Linked DNA regions of Xenopus tropicalis. Each later gene encodes a partner of the first gene's protein in a complex. Links are inferred from orthologs where the notes say so. Each region holds a gene or a part of one and is shown in the gene's direction. Other genes may lie near its edges.

Region 1 (5,912 bases):
CACTGTTTACAGCACCAGGGTGAGAGGAATGAAATTTTAGACACAGTCTGTGGAGTCACCCTTATTTGCCCCACCTGCAGTAATACCCTAGTCACCCCCTTTCAAACTTTCCCCCTAATTATACCTACTCACAATCATTAAAAAGCCAATGGTTTTTAGTGATCGTGAGTAGGTATAATTAGGGGGGAATTTTATGTTTAATCCCAATTACTCAGAAAAAGGCAGAGCAGGGAAGCAGGCCTTGGGGAGTGTCAGTGACATGGTTCCAATTCAAATCTTACTTTTTACTTTATTTGACCTGTGGTAGTGGGTAATACAGAATCTGAAGACAACATGAGGTGCAAGCAATGGGGATCCAGATTTGTTTTTCAGGGGGTTGCATTGACATTACAAATATTAATGAATCAACATATTTATATATGAAATTCAGTTGCCTAAAGTTGAGTTACCAGTGAAAATATACACCCACCTTTTTGGCATGAGCTAATTCAGCTAGGTTTATGTAGAAAATGTGCATAAACACTATATCAACTTCCAAAAATAAATATAAATGTAGTTCTTGTAGTTGAAGATTAAAAGAAGATCAGTTTATCATTTAGGCTAATGTTGGTAACAAACAACCCCCATGCTGCTTCCTGGTCATTTGGGATACTGAGCAGCGCTAACACTATTCCAGCTGGCAGCCCTCATAGTATTTCCGCTGGCAGCTTTGGGAGGGAGAGGCGACAAGAATTGAGTGGCAGCAGATTGCTTATTTCATAAAAACCTGGCCCTCCTCCTCCTTTCACCATTACTATTGATGGCATGACCATCAACCCTGTAAATTCTGAACGCTGCCTTGGGGTTATCTTTGACCAGTCTCTTTCCTTCTCTAACCATATTAATAACACTGCCAAAACCTGCCGCTTTTTCCTCCGCAATATTGCCAAGATACGCCCCTTTCTTTCACAAGCAACAGCTAAAACACTAATCTATGCCCTTATCCTTTCCCGCTTAGATTACTGCAATCTCCTACTAACCGGCCTCCCAGACTCCCACCTCTCTCCCCTGCAATCAATCTTAAACTCTGCTGCCAGGATCCTCCTGCTCTCTCCTAAGAGGGATCCTGCCCAGCCTCAATTAAGCTCACTAGCATGGCTGCCTGTCAAGCAAAGGATAGCTTACAAAATCCTTCTGCTGACATTCAAAGCCCTTCACTCCTCTGCTCCTCACTACATTTCTTCACTGGTCTCCCTACATGTTCCTGGTCGTCTCCTCCGCTCCTCTCAGAGCCTCCGTCTCTTTACACCATCCACACCCACTGCGCTCTCTCGTCTTAAACCTTTCTATCTCGCTGCTCCTTACCTCTGGAACTCTATCCCTGAATCCCTCCGTAGGGAAAACTTACCCACTCTCTTTAAGAAAAAACTCAGCTGTTACCTTCTGGAGCACTAAAACATTATTTTGCCCAGTCCTGCGCTTAAGGGCAAATGCCCACACCTGGTGCACTCTTACCTTCCAGTTTGTGCCTGTATGTTACCCAACCACTTAGATTGTAAGCTCTACGGGGCAGGGACCTCCTTCCTACTGTGTCTCATACCACATGGCACTTATATATATATATATATACATATATGTATTTATTTATTATATCACTTGTCCTCCCTGTGTGTAATTTTGTATTCTGTAAGACTGTACAGCGCTGCGTACCCTTGTGGCGCTTTATAAATAAAGTTATACATACATACATAAAAATGGTTCTGTTTTCCTAAATTCAATATATTGCAAACCTGCTTCTTTTTAGGTAAAAAGCTGTAAATGCAATACATATCCTTTAATAGAGGAAAAAAGAAAAAAATATAAACTGGTATTTTTTCCCATAAAAGGTGGCAACCCTAATACAACCCCGTATGAAAAGGGGCTTTAGGAGTTATATAATGTAAGCAAAGAGCTGACTAGATCGTATAAATTGCACTTGTTAGTAAATATGCCACACAATCCTTTGCGCTAGTGCCCCTATTTATGTGTGCGCAACTGCCCTAATAGGATTGTTTTTCTAATTAGAAGGCTTGTCACATGATTTTAGGGTGGCAAGCGATTTAGAAACAGCTTTAACCATAAGTATCGGTCATGTGCCCATCGTTTGACGTCTCTGGCCAATAGGTTAACGTTTCTCACAAACAGAACAAGTAGGAAAGCTGCCGCAATGTCTCCTATTGGCTGTCCTACAGATCACGCCTCTGGGCACAAGGGCGCTCCTATTTCCGTATACGCTCTAGTCAAGTGACGCGAAGGCGGAGTTGTTTTCGCCATGTTTTCTCAGGCGATCCAGTAGGGGAGCTCGCTAGAGAGAAGGGTCCCAGGTAAACAGCGCGGGTGATGCCGGCGGGGATGAAATGACATCAGTTTTGATGCGCTGGCTATAACTTTTCTCATGAAGGAAATATTCGTGTTACATGTTTGTTTAGCTCGGTGTTACGCTAAAATACACTGGACATCGTTCAGTACTTCGGTGCAGTTTGGATCTGTATTTAGGAGTCGTGTTTGCTAAATATGCTTGTCTGATTTATACATTGATATGGAATTGTAAACCAAGCTCTCCATTATACAGGCGTTAATGCTTACAAATATTTCTGTGCTCACAAAGCCATAGCAAGTCCATAGCAAATATTTCTTTTAGTTTCTTTTCCTAGACAGGTATGAGCTTTATTTGGTTATCATTTGCAGATTGTTCATCACATTTACATCCATTCCCCAGTGGGATTTAGAATATGAGATGTCCTGCCTATCACATGCACGCAACCGGCTTGCTTCACTTTCATAGGGGGCTCTGTAACCTGGCTGTATATTTTGTTATCATTTATAATGTGGAAAGACTAAGCGATTTGCTGGATATGATGGAAAAGTGATTGCTGGACCAGCAGTTGAAAAGATAAAGCTAATGTTGGCTGGTTTCCTAGGGGTTAATATTTTGTCACTAGGACAGAAGTGCAGGATGTGACAGCACAGGCCTCAGATCTAGGGTGGCAATCAATCGATTGGTCTTATTAAGGAATCTCTATCAGCTAATGATTTAACATTTATATTTGTTTTAGAAATCTGAAAATGATCTGTTGTACTTTGAGACTGCTGAATGTAAAATGCCCAGAAATCAGGTAAGGTGTGATCGTCTTCTAGGACTACATGCCTGAAAACTCATCTAAATTTTTTTATACCCAAATATGCCTTCTCTTTGTTAGTTTTCCTTTAACCTGTTATATATAAAATATGTTCTAAATGAAAAGTTTAACTAGCATCAAATTTACATACCAATTAGTGACCCATCAAATAATCATATCAAATTGTCATATATATATATATCATCAGTAAATATATAACATTTTTTTTCTTAACCTTGAGACACTATTTTTGGATATTTTGTGTGCTTATTTACTGTGGCAGTGTTTCAGTATAGGATTATTCAGTGTCATTTGTTTCTATTTTTCATGATAGTAAGCTAAGATAATAGGGAGCATCTAATTTATAGTATATACAAAATATTAGAAATAAAATACACGTCTTTGGTTAAGAGCACTAGATGGGCTAGATTCTAGTATATTGATATATGTATATATTTTAAAACATCATGGTAAAAATGTATGTAATCTCAGCAAGTTTATGGAAGACATTTTGAATTTTAACTCTTTGGGAGGAGTCTCATACTAAAAAAGATAATGTTGTTTATTTCTAGATATATTTTGCAGGGTCAGCACTAGAGTGTCCTACCAAGCAATTATCAAGAGAGATTTTCAACAATAAATTTATTGTAGTAATCTTAAACTGTAATAGGTGTATTTTTCAAATATATTTTGGTGCCTAATGATCTCTGAACTGGTCAAATGGATCAATAACGACTTGGGTTTCATTTGTAATGTTGTTAAGATGATTTTATACCCATACCAATGTGGTTCATTGAATGTTGAAAATTCACTTTCCCCAAAGTTGCATTGTTCATACTGGTTTGGAGCCCAAAGCAGTTATAAGCTTTATGGCTGTGGGGATTTTTGTACTCATTTATTTGTAGGTGTGGATAGAATTGTCATTACTAAAATATAATGTCTCTGGAATTATCTGGAACTTTATGTACTGGATAATCACAAATGTGCCGGTAAAGTAAGTAAATTGTGCTAATTCATTTTATTCTCAATGTTCTCTCATTTAGTAGGACAGAGATGCTTTTGTTTAACTCTGGTACAGACAGTCCCCACTGTAACGTGTAGCACTTGTTACACTATGTTTCTGCAGAACTTAAATTTAACCAATAGGTGTCTGAAATTACTGGTGTTTAATTTCATTTCTTAATTGGTGATTTGCTGTATAATAAGGTAGCCGTTCTTGGAGTTTTGTTTTTGGAATAGGCACTAGGGGAAGGATTTGCAGATTGAGTAATTTTACCAGGCAGATCACATGCACCTGTCAGATGCACACTGCAGTACCGTATATACTCGAGTATAAGCCGATCCGAATATAAGCCGAGGTACCTAATTTTACCTAAGAAAACTGGAAAAACTTATTGACTCGAGTATAAGCCCCTCAATGGTGCAGCATGAAAAGCATCCATATACCGGTAAACAAAATCTTTAATCCAATAACTAAATATGGCATTTCTGTATTCTTTAAATACAGTAAATTGCTGTTCTGGATGTCACTTCAATGAATACAAAATTATTCTATATAAATTTGATAAAACAACTACTGTGCCACTAGCCATAGAGCTTAGCAAGTTATGTAAACCTCTCATAATATAGAGACCAGTACATCTCTCTTTTTTATTTTTTCATTCATGACTGTACATAAGCTGAGAAGAACTGCATGTGGGTACTTTTGATTTAATTAGGTGAGCAGTGATTATGTAAAGAGCTTCAGAGGGGCCTCTTGATATTAATATGAGTGTATTAAGCAAGGCTAGGGCCCACGGCTAGCACAAGGATATCGTAACCAACTTATACTAAGCATTTCAACAGTGTGGAGTAATGAAAAAAATTGCTCCAGTGGTAGCATTCTATGCCCATAAATCCGCAGGTAGCGGCATATTTAACCTGATCACTTGCTCAGTAGGTATCAGTTACCAGTCTAAGTAAGGCTCTGGTTAGAGGGAGGTGCCACGGTGCTGCTCTTTGTGTCACTTACTGTCATGTTGGCACTCAACACTAACTATATAGTGGGGCTCTGTGCTCTGCTAGGCTGTTCTGCTGCCGTTGTCCTGGCGTCCACAGGGGTCCAGGGAGGGGGGGGCTCGGGGGGGCTCCTCAATGTGTCCCTATGTGCTGCGCGCTGCACATAATGTAGCGTGCACGCCGCAGGCACAGTCTGCCTACGGCTCAGGGGCGCTCCTCCTGTGCTCCAGTGTGTCCCAAAGTGCAGCGGCGCAAAGAGCATAATGTCGCGCGGGCGCGCCGCTTGTACATGCTGCTGAAGGCCGCGCAACTACCGTATTCCATGTAGTTTGGGTGCAACTACCGTATATACCCGAGTATAAGCCGATTGTTACTTTTTAAGCACATTTTTAGGGCTGAAAAACTCGGCTTATACTCGAGTATATACGGTATATAGTTTTAAATAAAAATACTTTTTTTTTTTTATTTTTAAGCATCTTTTATTACTGTCTAATGAAGGCTATTTATTGTAGGTGTAAGTGTAATCCATTTAAGTAAGGATAGTCCCTCATGTTGGGTTGCTATCTTTCCAAGTGTATAAACCTAAACGGTGACATTGTGGGCCAGTAAGTGGAGGTGGCGTTTGCGGCAGGGTAATGAACAGTGTGGGACTGGATAGTTTGGCAAGTCCCTCTAGCAGCAGTCTGTCTGGGTCTTAGAACTCTGTAAGAGAAAACCTTTCACAGGTAGTAGTAGGACTGTTAACTTCTGCAGTACACCGCCAGTTTCTGTGAAATT
Region 2 (5,918 bases), on another chromosome or scaffold:
CAGGGAAAAGGACTGGGATGAAGGTAGGTACACTATGAAAAAAGAGCCATTTAAAAACTCTTTAGTACCCTTCCGCCCTCTTTACAGGCTATAGATCAAAAAACATTTCAACTTATTACTTGGCTTATGCTAGCAGAGTTAGCATAGTTGGCAGAAATCCAATAAGGGCTTTAGATAATTTGGACAAAGTGGGGCCCCCCACACAGAAGTACTGTATGTGACCCAGTACATACTAGGCCATGCTAGGTCATTTCAATTGTGTTAACGGCATAGCATGTAGGGGGACTTTAATAAAGAGATTTACTATTTACATTGTAGCAATGAACAGAGGTCGCCATCTTGCATCATCTGTAAAATGAAATACGCTCGGAGCCCCTTAGTCTTGTTCTAATGGGAAAAGCAAAGTAACCAGTAATATATTCCAAAAGTCTAAAGAAACCCTGGATATCTATGCACACCTTAATTAACCCAGAATGTGTGAATGTCTTCTGTAAAAACATGTCATAAAGTACATTTCAAAGTACAATAAAATCACAAAATAAAGCAATAAAAACAGTGACAATGGTTGTGAAAAATTCACACTTCCATGTGTCTCCCTGTGCAATTAAAGGACAAGGAAACTCCTAAAAGTAAAACTTTAGCAAGCAATTGGCCACCATTATTCCTTGAGAACCCAATATTTATTGTGCAAAACCCTTTACTTTTTATGCAGCACTCCTTACTTAGATTGGCAGTGACCATATTGCCTCTGCCAGCTTTATCCTCCTGGCCAGGGTGTTGATCCATGCATAACTTTTATATGCTGGAATGTTTACATCATGTTTGGGTCATGATGGTATTCAAATTTCAATATTTGTATGTATGTGCATGCTTTTAGTACTACCACAATTCAAGAAATTAGCTGAAAATGTTTTTATATAGAAAGCTTTCTATAGAGGGGGGAAAGGGTATTGAAGTAAATATATATAAAAATATTTCCAACATTTCATACGGTAGCTTCAAATAATCTCTTCAATTTAAAAATCCAGACTTGTCTTGAAAAATCCACTGGTGGAGGAAATAGCTGGCCACCTCAGTCATACAAAAATGTGGTTGCGTTCCGAAAGTAAAAACATTTTACTGTCCGAACAATCGTGAACGGCGCAAAAACCTTTCTGGCTTTGATACTTTAATGTATGATTTTTTGCAATGACTATGACCATTTGGGAATTTATTCAAGCTTTGAAAAGTCGTGGAATTTTAACGAAAATATTGTGGACATAACGAAAAGTTTTATAAATTAGAAAAAATACGATTTTTTTCTGAAAAAAAAAAATCTGATTTCATGTATGGACCCCTTAACCATGGGCTATAATTAAGAGTCAGATGCACTTGAAAGATACTTTCAACGTATGTTACATACAGTGGCAGCTGCTAAGGTTTGCTGGGACCTATGAATATTTGAAGTTGAAGTTCAAGTTGTACTGAGATTTGTAGAGTTAAAGGAACAGTAACACCAAAAAATGAAAGTGTAAAAAACTAACTAAAATATAATGTGCTGCTGCCCTGCACTGGTAAAAGTTGTGTGTTTACTTCAGAAAGTCTACTATAATTTATATAAATAAGCTGCTGTGTAGCCATGGGGGCAGCCATTCAAAGGAGAAAAGGCACAGGCACATAGCAGATAACAGATAAAACACTATTGTATTCTACAGAACTTATCTGCTATGTAACCTGTGCCTTTTCTCCTTTTTTCCAGCTTGAATGGCTGCCCCCATGGCTACACAGCAGCTTATTATATAAATTATAGTAGTGTTACTGTAGCAAACACACCAGTTTACCAGTACAGGGCAAAAGTGCATTATATTTTGATTACTTTAAAGCTCTTTTATTTTTTGGTGTTACTGTTCCTTTAATAGCAATAGACCACCAGCTTTTCAAAAGCTCTGATTTGCATTGTAATAGGGTATGGAGTATTTTTCTGCTACCCAGTGCTTTATTTTGGAATGTATCACGCCAAATCTCCAATATTCTGTTGTAGTATATGGCAGGGGGTGGTGTCACCTATGTAGAACATCTTTTGTTAATATCAACTCTTTTTGCAAAGCGATTATAAGGCCTTCGTGAGCATTTTATTTGCAAATTCCATAATATAGCAGGGCCATCATTCTTAACTTTCATTTGCTTTGACTCACGCTTTGAACACAACCAATCCGCAGTTTGGGGGCAGCCTGCAACTAGCTCAATTGCTCCGCCCATTCCCTCACTCGGCATCTGCAGCGCAACGGGAGGCGGGGCATAATGTAGAAGAAGAGTGGATGCTTTCGGGTGCGTCTTTTAAAAAACCGGAAGTACGTCGGAAAGAGAAGCCGGTGCGGGTCTGAGAAGGATGTGATAGGACTGGAGCGAAAAATCGGGGTTCGGGTGAGTTGGCATCGGCCAGCGAGTTTCGCGGTCACCTGTACTGGTGTTTATACTATAATTTCTGTGTGACACACGGCAGCTTGTTTCCCATCAGGCCTTGCTATCACTACAGACTATTGCCTTTGCGTTATGTATTGTTGTCTACCTGGCAACCCTGAAGTTTGATATGTGTAATGGGCTTAATGGCAAATTCTTAGTTTCATGTATAAGTGAGGTTAGAGTTTGCAGCTCATACATTCCCAGTATGTTTGATGTCAGTGTAGCATTGTAATCTGTGTAAGTTGGTCAGTATCCTGCCCCTTCACCTCCCCCCACTCCCCCAGCTCTTTATGTCCCTGACTTGTTGTGAAGTGCTGTGCATGACAGTGCTTAACATGTAGAAGAAATAAATGTTTTTTTTATCAGAGCCACAGGCCAGAATAAAATCAGTTAGTGCTTCCCTTGTGGTGGGACACACAGTGCCCTGCATAATAAATATAACAAACGTTTGTTCATTTGTAACATCACAAGACCAGTTTAGCCCATGAGTTGCGCTCGCTGCTAGCTGTATTGCTTCAGTTTTGCGCTTTTTACAGGAATTTATGAGATGGAACATTTAGTTTACCTAGGAATATTGTATTTTTCAGGATATCCCAAGTGTAATTCCACTTCCATAACAAGATAAAGCACTTAACAGTCAAAGACAATTAAAACATTAACTGTTATTATAATACAGGTGCTGGGTGTATAATACACCCAGCACCTGATCTGGGAATCAGCACTTATATTGTAGTGTCACCCACTGTGACCTACAGCCCTTATACTGCATTTTCTTATTTGTGTCTGTAAGTTACCCTCCCATATAGATTGTAAGCTCTACAGGGCAGGGACCTCCATCCTCTTGTGTCTTTGACTCTTATTGCAACTGTATTTATCTTGTATCTATCTGTATTGTTGTACTTTGTATTTGTCTATTATTATCTTAATAATCCCCTGTTTGTATTAATGTATTCTACTGTACAGGGCTGCGTGCATAAGTAGCGCTTTATAAATAAAGATATACATACATACATAAAAACAAACTAAACATTTTATTATATACATGTAAATACAGGGAAAACCCTGTGTCTCTACAATTAATATATATAGTTTTATGGACTTTCCTGGATAGATCAGAAACTTCATTAGTGGGTTTTCAAAGCCCCATTCTAAAAATCAGTATAATTTAAAGTGGCCATACATAAGCCCTAAAAATATCCATTGGTTAGGTTTGAAATCCCGTTAGGCAAGGACAACATTGCCATATTGATGTGGTCCTTAGCCAAGGTAGGTTTGCTGTCTGACTAGCACCACTTAGAGAGCTCAACATGTTTGGACAGTTTGACTATTTCTGACTAATAATAGAATTAAAATATGACTATCTACTCAACACAAACTATGAAACTGCAAAGGTTTGCTAAAGTATTTATGACTTTTTTGAGTCTACTCTAATCTTTAATTTTTCACATCTTATCTCAGACATGTCCTTTGATATAAATATAACCTATCCTAAAAATTAATGGCAGCAGTCTTCTGAACAGTTTAAAGCTTATGATTACCTAAGTGTGGTTTATGGAGACCCCAATATAAAAATAGTGCTTATGCATTTCTTGGTTGCTGCTTCAGCTCCTGTAAATCCTGCTTTTCCCATACACACAGTGCAGACAAACTGACCATATAAAAATGAATTTTTAAAATATACATTTTGACAAATCTAAAATGGGAAAATGTCTGTTCCAAAATTTAGATTTATATTCTGATAGTTTTGAGAACAATTAAAAAAAAAAAAATTCCACTTAACTATAGAGCATTGTATCCCATTTATGTGTATAAATACAAAGATAAAACATGCTAAAGTCCAAAGGATAAAACTATGGGAGCCTGTAAATGAATTGAAAATGCTACACACTATTTTACTAGCCAAAACAATGCCTCAAAACAATATAAAAAAAAAAAATTGCAGAGTGGGATCAGTGGTCAAAATCAAGCTTCCACTTTCTTGCTTGTTTGTGCCTGTAAAACGTTAATTGCACAGCAAGACAACAGTGATGCCAGAATAAAACAAGTCACAACACCGTGTGATTGGCATTCATGCCAGTGATACGCACATGACCATGTACACAACTTTCCTATCGTTAATGCAGTACAATAATATTGTTGGAAATCTTTTTTCCTATTTTCTTTCTAATGGCACATGTTTAAGCTGGCTGAGAAGAGTACTATGTGCTAGCTCAGCCTATTGCAAACTCTAATGTGCTACACAAAGAGCAGTATTATACTGTAAGGCTTATGGGGACACTGGGCTTTTGTATCAGTTACTATTTTTTCAGAGGAACATTGCTGAGACAAAGTGTTTTTCTTGAAGTAATAACAGCCTGCATGTTCTCTGACCATAGTAATTCTAATATATTTCTCACAATACTAAGCTTTGTCTTTCCTTGGGCAAAATTAAAGAAAACTACCCATGCAGACTATAAAAAGACTAGTAAGTGCTTGCCTCCTACGTTTGGACCCACAGCTGCTTCCATCGATATCTGGTCACATCACAGTCAAACGGTAAGTTTAGCCTGTGACTTGCACAGGTGGCCAAAGCTTTAAAAGATCTACGACAATATTGTCCATTGATAATGTTTGTTATGTTCTGAAGTGGTTACTGCTAACTGGTACAGATAATAGTATGATTGTTTACTTTGTGTGTTTGCAGATACGTGAACATATTTACTGCAGCCTTCTCATGGAAATATTACCATGGATGACTTAGAAAACAACATCTTTAATTCTGTGGAGGAAGAGATCATTTACTGGAAAAGTGTGGCAATGAAATATAAGACATGGTATGCCATTTTACGAGTAGAGTCCTTCAGCATTAGCACATACTGGGAATACATTATAATGTGCTTTATGCTTCTTCCTATAGCTCTGAGGAAGCCCAACAGGAGCTGCAGGAGTTTCAGGAGGCCAGTAGAGAATATGAAGCAGAGCTAGAGGCTCAGCTCCAGCAGATTGAGGGTAGAAACAGAGACCTCTTCTCTGAAAACAACCGTTTGCGAATGGAACTTGATGGCATTAAGGTAATTAACATATCTGTGGTTTTAAAATCTTTTAATGGCAGCCTAGTTTAGAGTATCTTCGGAATATATTCTGTATAACCTTACAGGACAAGGAAAGCTGTTACGGTTTGCCAAATAGTTATGGAATCTCAGTGGCCCTCATTGTTTGCCTCTTACTCTAAGCTGGCACCTTTCTTTCAGGGTTGCCTGAAAAGCTGGAGGAAGATGGCAGTGGTCAGCCCTGCTAAAAACTGCCCTGAGCTGGTGCACTTTTTTTTTTTTTTTTTTTTTTTTTTTAAGAGGAGTGCAGGCCCAGGTTAAAGGAGAAGGAAAGGTACTAAATAACTAAGCTTTATCAGGAAGGTCTATGTAAATACAGCCATAAGCACTTAGACTGAGTCACTCTATCAAAAGAAACACAAGATTTCTTGTCTCCTTTTTTTTTGT
Region 3 (5,802 bases), on another chromosome or scaffold:
TTAGTAATTGGTCTAGTGCTAGACTGAAGAAGAAAGGAGACAGTGGCAGGCATGTTTGGTGCCTTTCTTTATGGCAAATTTGTCTGAGTTTAAGTTGTTTACAGTGAGGAAGGTAGATAGATCTAGGTTAACTAAAATTCCATGTTTGTGTTTTTCTATGTTGTGTAGGTATACTGAGGCTAAGATTTGGCGCATAGCTTTTATCAAGTGGCGTCCTTTTGTACATCACAATTGGATGGGTGGGGCCACAAAGGCCCGGGCCTAGGGAGGCACAAATTTGGGGTTGGTATGCCACCCAAGCCGCGCTGAAATTTAGCTCACATACGAAGCAACGGGGACCTTGCGTGTGCGGCAGGAGGGATATTTTTTTTTCTTAAAATATCCATATTTTGTCATTTATCTGCTCCTTCTTGAAGATTGTTCTATCATAAATGTTTTGGCCCACCAATTTTTGCCTTGCACTGGTACCTTTAAGCAGCCCTGTTTGGCCCTCTGGGGATTCTCTTTTTGGGAGAACTCATTCTTTCATTTGGCTCTTTCACTTTTATGCAGGTGATATTCAACTATATTTGTTCCCCCCCAACTAAACACTGAGACCCAGATCTCAGCCTCCCAGCTACAGGGTCGGACTGGGCCGCCGGGACAAATCCCTTTGCCGGCGCTCCCCCTACTGACTGTTCCTCCCCTGACGCGTTCAATTTATACGCACTAGGGGAGGACGTCGGGTGGGGGCCCTGGGGAGGGTTAGGGGGGCCCCTGGGGGGGTAGGGGACACGGCTGGCTGAGGCACCTGCAGGGCCCCTGGGGCGGGAGCCCTGGTGGGCCCTGCACTCCCCAGTCCGACCCTGCCCAGCTATCTCCACCTCAAATTAATCTTAACACTGAGCTGATAGTCTTTCCATACAAACCTGGCCATATTCCACCTATATTCATAGAACTCATCAGCACACCCTGGTCTTTCTTCTAGTGTCCGTCCAGTGCTTGGTGTATTGTGAAGGTTTGGCATCCTCCGCTCTCTTGGAATACTCATGGCATGTTCACAAAATCAGTTAAATCAGTATGCATCCTGATGCTAATCTTTGACTTATCATTCTCTAATCATATTAATGCCACTAACAAGATCGAACCTTTCTCTCAAGATATAGAAATGTCTTCCACTAATCTAGAAAGCCCTTCACTCCTTACACCTTACTACATCTCTCTCTTGTGTCACTGTTTGTTTTCTTCAGTCCTCACAGAGCCAGTCTTTACACACCACCCATGTCCTTTGCCTCTGCTATCCTCTGCCTTTTATCTTGCTACTTCTTACCTCTGGAACCGCCTCTTTAAATTTGTCTATAACAGGGATGCCAATCTAGACCAAAGGGTGTGTCTTGCTCCACTTCCAACTATTATCCTGATCTGCCCAGGCCAAGTTCATGCTTTCTGCTCCAGCTGCTTTTGGGAATACTGGGTGCAACTTTATGTTTTTCAATGGTGGGTTAGGCAAAGGGTTTTGGTGCAAAATCCTGACATCAGGTGATTGGCCTGTAAATGCTGGTGACTAAATGAATGGTGTTTAAGTTCATGTGACTCCTGACAATTTCAGGCGAGATGACACAGCTTCTTTAAGGAGCGCAACCTCTTCTAATCTAAACTCCAGCCTGCCTGTCAGAGCACTAGCCCAATCTTTGCACTTACCAGACAGTACTGTAGCCATTTTGAATAGCAGAGCTTATTACTCTCCTATTTGCACCTCTATGTTTTCCACCCACTTAGGCTAAAGTCACACACAGTTAAGGTTGCCACATTTTATGATCTTACTGGCCAGGGTGGGGAGCGGGTCTACCAGGTGGCAGGTCTGTGACACTGGGTGGGGTTGTGATGTAAGTGAGGGCAGGCTGTGACCTTGGTGGAAATAGGGATCAAGACAGGTTAGAAAGGGTTGAAATACTGGCTGGGTGGCAACCCTACACAAAGTGTGCTGAGAAGCCCCCTGTCCTACCACCCTGTCACTTTACACAGGGTATTTTACAGCCCAAAACCCACACTTGGAAACCACTATGTCTGACATTAACCTCAGAGTGTAAATTCAGTGGGTAAGGGACCTCAGCCTATGTCTCTCAGCATATGCCACTTAACATTTTAAATTTATATTTACTCACTGCAGTGTTTGTACTTTTACTTATGGTAAAAAAATTATACCCTCTACATACAATTATACACATATACCATTTCATGTGTTACAGTCCAGGCACACCTTCTACACTGATTCAGAAACTCATTAGGTAGGAGCCCAAACAGCCACACATGACGCATCCGAAAACAATTCCTCCGTAGCAGCTCCACACCTCTGGCCAATTGCGCGGGAACCGTACCGCTGTGCGCGGCCCCGCGCGTCAGGGGGCGCGCTTTGACGTCAGGAAGTGTCGCTGTGCTCTCGCCTCGGCAGCTGCTGCTAGAATTGAGCCTGCAGAGGAGGGGAACAGAGAAACAGCAAACATGGCAACGGGAACGGCAGGTGAGAGAAGGGACAGGGAAATGACTACTGTATATGTATGCGAATAAATGGAAACAGTAACTGCACTATGATACAAATGGAGCACGACCTTTACTTGATAACTCAAAATAAATCTGTATTTTTTTGCAGAGGCAGATACCAGGCAGAAGCTGCTGAAGACAGTGAAGAAGGAGGTAGGCGATAGAAGCAAGCATCGTTCTCTACAACAGTGAATGGTTTCTATGTTTATGTCTCTTAGTGTGCAGCTCGGTAGAACACTGTGGACATGGATACACATATCTGTAGCTGTTTAGCCCCATTCTGTTGTCTATTAGTGTGGGACTGGGCGTGTTTTCATTGACACAGCTGGCAGCCCTTGGTCACTCGTGTGGCTCATAATACTGTTACTCCCTCCTGTCCACATACCCTTTGGTGGGTTGTATTGCCTAAGGATGAAGTCTAACCTTTAGAAACTCACCTGGCCCTCAGGGGCCCTTTACAAGTTGTACATTTGTATTCCCAGTAAATTGTTAAATACTATGCATTGCCCTTTACCCCCGCCCCTTGTCCCCTGGAATAATGAAACACTATTCACAGCAGCTGGGGGTACAGAGGATACCTGCCCTGCATTGAGAATTTACTGCTCAAGAACCTAGATGTGGTGTGATCAACCTGAAGGCAGTCCCTCCACATCCCCTTATCAGCCAAACAGCATTTTGGGGGTGAGGTTGCTGGGAGTTGTATTTGTGGACTTCTGGGCAAACATCCTTGACATGACTGGATTACTGAAAAATAATTTAACCCAAATCTACGCTGTCACAGCATTTTTGCAAAAAATAAGTAGTGCAGCGTTTGCCATTGTGGCTTGTAAGAAATAGCAAAGCAGCAGAAAAACATGTCTGATAGCAGATAGTAAGGTATGCGCACTGTTAAAGCCAAAACCATAACCATCACAGTCTCAACTGTTTTTGACAAATAATTTCCTAGAATTAGGTTTAATGGTATAGACACCCTTTTCATTTTGTCACTATGGCTGATTAATATATAATAGGCTTTCTTCTGTGGGGGCAAAATGTGACTATTATTGTATTTACAGTAATTACATGCCAGTCAAGTAACAATCATGTATTGTGTTTCACCTGTTCTCCCAAAGCAGGGATGTACAGTATAACCAGTGTTCCTCCTATTGTTTATGCATTGCTACTTCCAGCATCTGTGCCAAAGATGGGAGTTGAGATTAACATTAATTGAGTTGGGAGTGAATATGCTTGTCTTTTGATACACTTTTTTTCAGAATTCCATTGGCACATCAGTGATACTTGATACATGCTAATTATTCTTTATTGAAATGGTCTGAGGTATTAGTTGACTCACCATATGCCATAGATTCATCTGACAGGTTAGATATACCTACACACCCTGGGTAAGCCATAGGATACCTGTGATTTGTTCCGGAAGCAGCTTTTCTTGCTGGTCCTTTCTGGTATGTCCTACTCATTGGCTTCTTGTAGCCAAGTTTTTCACAGAGATTTACAGGTGTTTAGATGTCATAATTTGCTAAATGTTATACAATTATATATATATGGGATTAAAACAATACAATACATGTATTTATATCTGTAATTCTTGATGTATTTATACTATGGGATAATACACCCTTTGTAGTTAGTGGGGGGGGGGTAGAAAAACAGTAACTTACCTGTTTATTTTGTAAGTGTATTACCCCCTTTGTATATGTTTTTACTATACAGGTGTGGGGATCTCTTGGGGAAACTCCTATATCCAGAAAGCTCCAAATTACAGGAAGGCCATCTCCTATAAGGTCCATTTGTAAGATGACCTGTCACCCCAAGAAATAATTCCAAATCCTTTTCTGTCATAAATTTACATTTTGTTCTCTTCAGTCTTAGAATCCACAATAGCAGCAAACAGGCATCATTTTGTGACAGTGTTATGAAAGCAAAACCTTTATGGCTGAATAAAAGAGTTAGGGTCGAGGTTGGTAATAAAAAACGTGCTTTTAAAGCATTCAAGTTAGCTGGGACAGCGGAAACTTTCATCAGGTACAAGGAAGCAAATAAAGCATGCAAAAAAGCTATCAGGCAAGCTAAAATAGAGATGGAAAGGGATATTGCAGCTAGGAGTAAAAAGAATCCAAAATTATTTTTTAATTATGTGAATAGTAAAAAAATGAAGCAAGAAGGGGTGGGAACTTTATTATCACGGGGGGGTACGTTGGTTGATGAGAACGGGGAAAAAGCAGAAATTTTGAACTCTTATTTTTCATCTGTCTATACATCTGAGGAGCCAGATAATGAAGGCTTCCCTTTTAATATACCCAGTGCTAGTAATTTAGCTACTGACGCGTGGGTCACTCAGGAGGAAATTCAAAAGAGACTTGAACATGTAAAGGTAAACAAAGGTCCAGGACCGGATGGGATTCATCCCAGGGTATTAAATGAGCTGAGCGCTGTGATTGGCAAGCCTCTTCACATAATTTTTCAGGATTCGTTGAGGTTTGGCATGGTGCCGAGAGACTGGCGGATTGCTAATGTGGTGCCGTTATTTAAAAAGGGATCTCGTTCTCAGCCTGAAAACTATAGGCCTGTTAGTCTGACATCAGTAGTAGGAAAGCTTCTGGAAGGGGTAATAAGGGATAGGATGGTTGAATACATTGCAGTTCACAATACTATTAGTTTGTGCCAGCATGGTTTTATGCGTAGCAGATCTTGCCAGACTAATTTAGTTGCCTTTTATGAGGAGGTGAGCAGGAACCTTGATGCTGGAATGGCAGTTGATGTCATCTACTTAGATTTTGCTAAAGCGTTTGATACAGTACCTCACAGAAGGTTAATGATCAAATTGAGGAATATTGGCCTAGAACATAATATTTGTAATTGGATAGAAAACTGGCTGAAGGATAGAGTACAAAGAGTGGTGGTAAATGGAACATTTTCTAATTGGGCCAGTGTGGTTAGTGGGGTACCGCAGGGGTCAGTCCTTGGTCCTTTGCTTTTTAACTTGTTTATTAATGACCTGGAGGTGGGCATAGACAGTACTGTTTCTATTTTTGCTGATGACACTAAATTGTGCAAAACTATAAGTTCCATGCAGGATGCTGCCGCTTTGCAGAGCGATTTGACAAAATTGGAAAACTGGGCAGCAAACTGGAAAATGAGGTTCAATGTTGACAAGTGCAAAGTTATGCACTTTGGTAGAAATAATATAAACGCAAACTATCTACTGAATGGTAGTGTGTTGGGGGCATCCTTAATGGAGAAGGATCTAGGGGTTTTTGTAGATCACAAGTTGTCCAATTCCAG

Evidence for each region. The genes of interacting proteins can lie anywhere in the genome.
Region 2: the proteins of rab9a (region 1) and nde1 are in contact, whole or in part, in a crystal structure (PDB 7E1T), measured with the Homo sapiens proteins. The link is inferred for Xenopus tropicalis from reciprocal best matches to the Homo sapiens genes RAB9A and NDE1. Residues at the interface, in NP_001182257.1 of Homo sapiens: Ile40, Val42, Phe44, Asn46, Gln59, Trp61, Arg68, Phe69, Ser71, Leu72, Pro75, Phe76; in NP_001137451.1 of Homo sapiens: Asp99, Gln102, Thr103, Ala105, Ile106, Gln109, Leu110, Tyr113.
Region 3: the proteins of rab9a (region 1) and sgsm1 are in contact, whole or in part, in a crystal structure (PDB 4QXA), measured with the Mus musculus proteins. The link is inferred for Xenopus tropicalis from reciprocal best matches to the Homo sapiens genes RAB9A and SGSM1. Residues at the interface, in NP_062747.1 of Mus musculus: Phe37, Thr39, Ile40, Gly41, Val42, Glu43, Phe44, Leu45, Trp61, Arg68, Phe69, Leu72, Phe76; in NP_766306.2 of Mus musculus: Leu256, Leu257, Tyr258, Gly259, Lys260, Asn261, Asn262, Tyr277, Asn294, Met297, Asn298, Gln361.

What each region holds. Positions count from the first base shown.
Region 1 is NC_030678.2:105,780,064-105,785,975, reverse strand, and holds the start of rab9a (ras-related protein Rab-9A), read left to right. Parts: upstream 1-2,504; 5' UTR 2,505-3,134; intron 3,135-5,912. UniProt on the Homo sapiens protein: The small GTPases Rab are key regulators of intracellular membrane trafficking, from the formation of transport vesicles to their fusion with membranes.
Region 2 is NC_030685.2:34,084,490-34,090,407, reverse strand, and holds the start of nde1 (nuclear distribution protein nudE homolog 1), read left to right. Parts: upstream 1-2,362; 5' UTR 2,363-2,403; intron 2,404-5,125; 5' UTR 5,126-5,169; coding exon 5,170-5,255; intron 5,256-5,338; coding exon 5,339-5,492; intron 5,493-5,918. UniProt on the Homo sapiens protein: Required for centrosome duplication and formation and function of the mitotic spindle. Essential for the development of the cerebral cortex.
Region 3 is NC_030677.2:147,514,131-147,519,932, forward strand, and holds the start of sgsm1 (small G protein signaling modulator 1), read left to right. Parts: upstream 1-2,246; 5' UTR 2,247-2,481; coding exon 2,482-2,500; intron 2,501-2,629; coding exon 2,630-2,673; intron 2,674-5,802. UniProt on the Homo sapiens protein: Interacts with numerous Rab family members, functioning as Rab effector for some, and as GTPase activator for others. Promotes GTP hydrolysis by RAB34 and RAB36.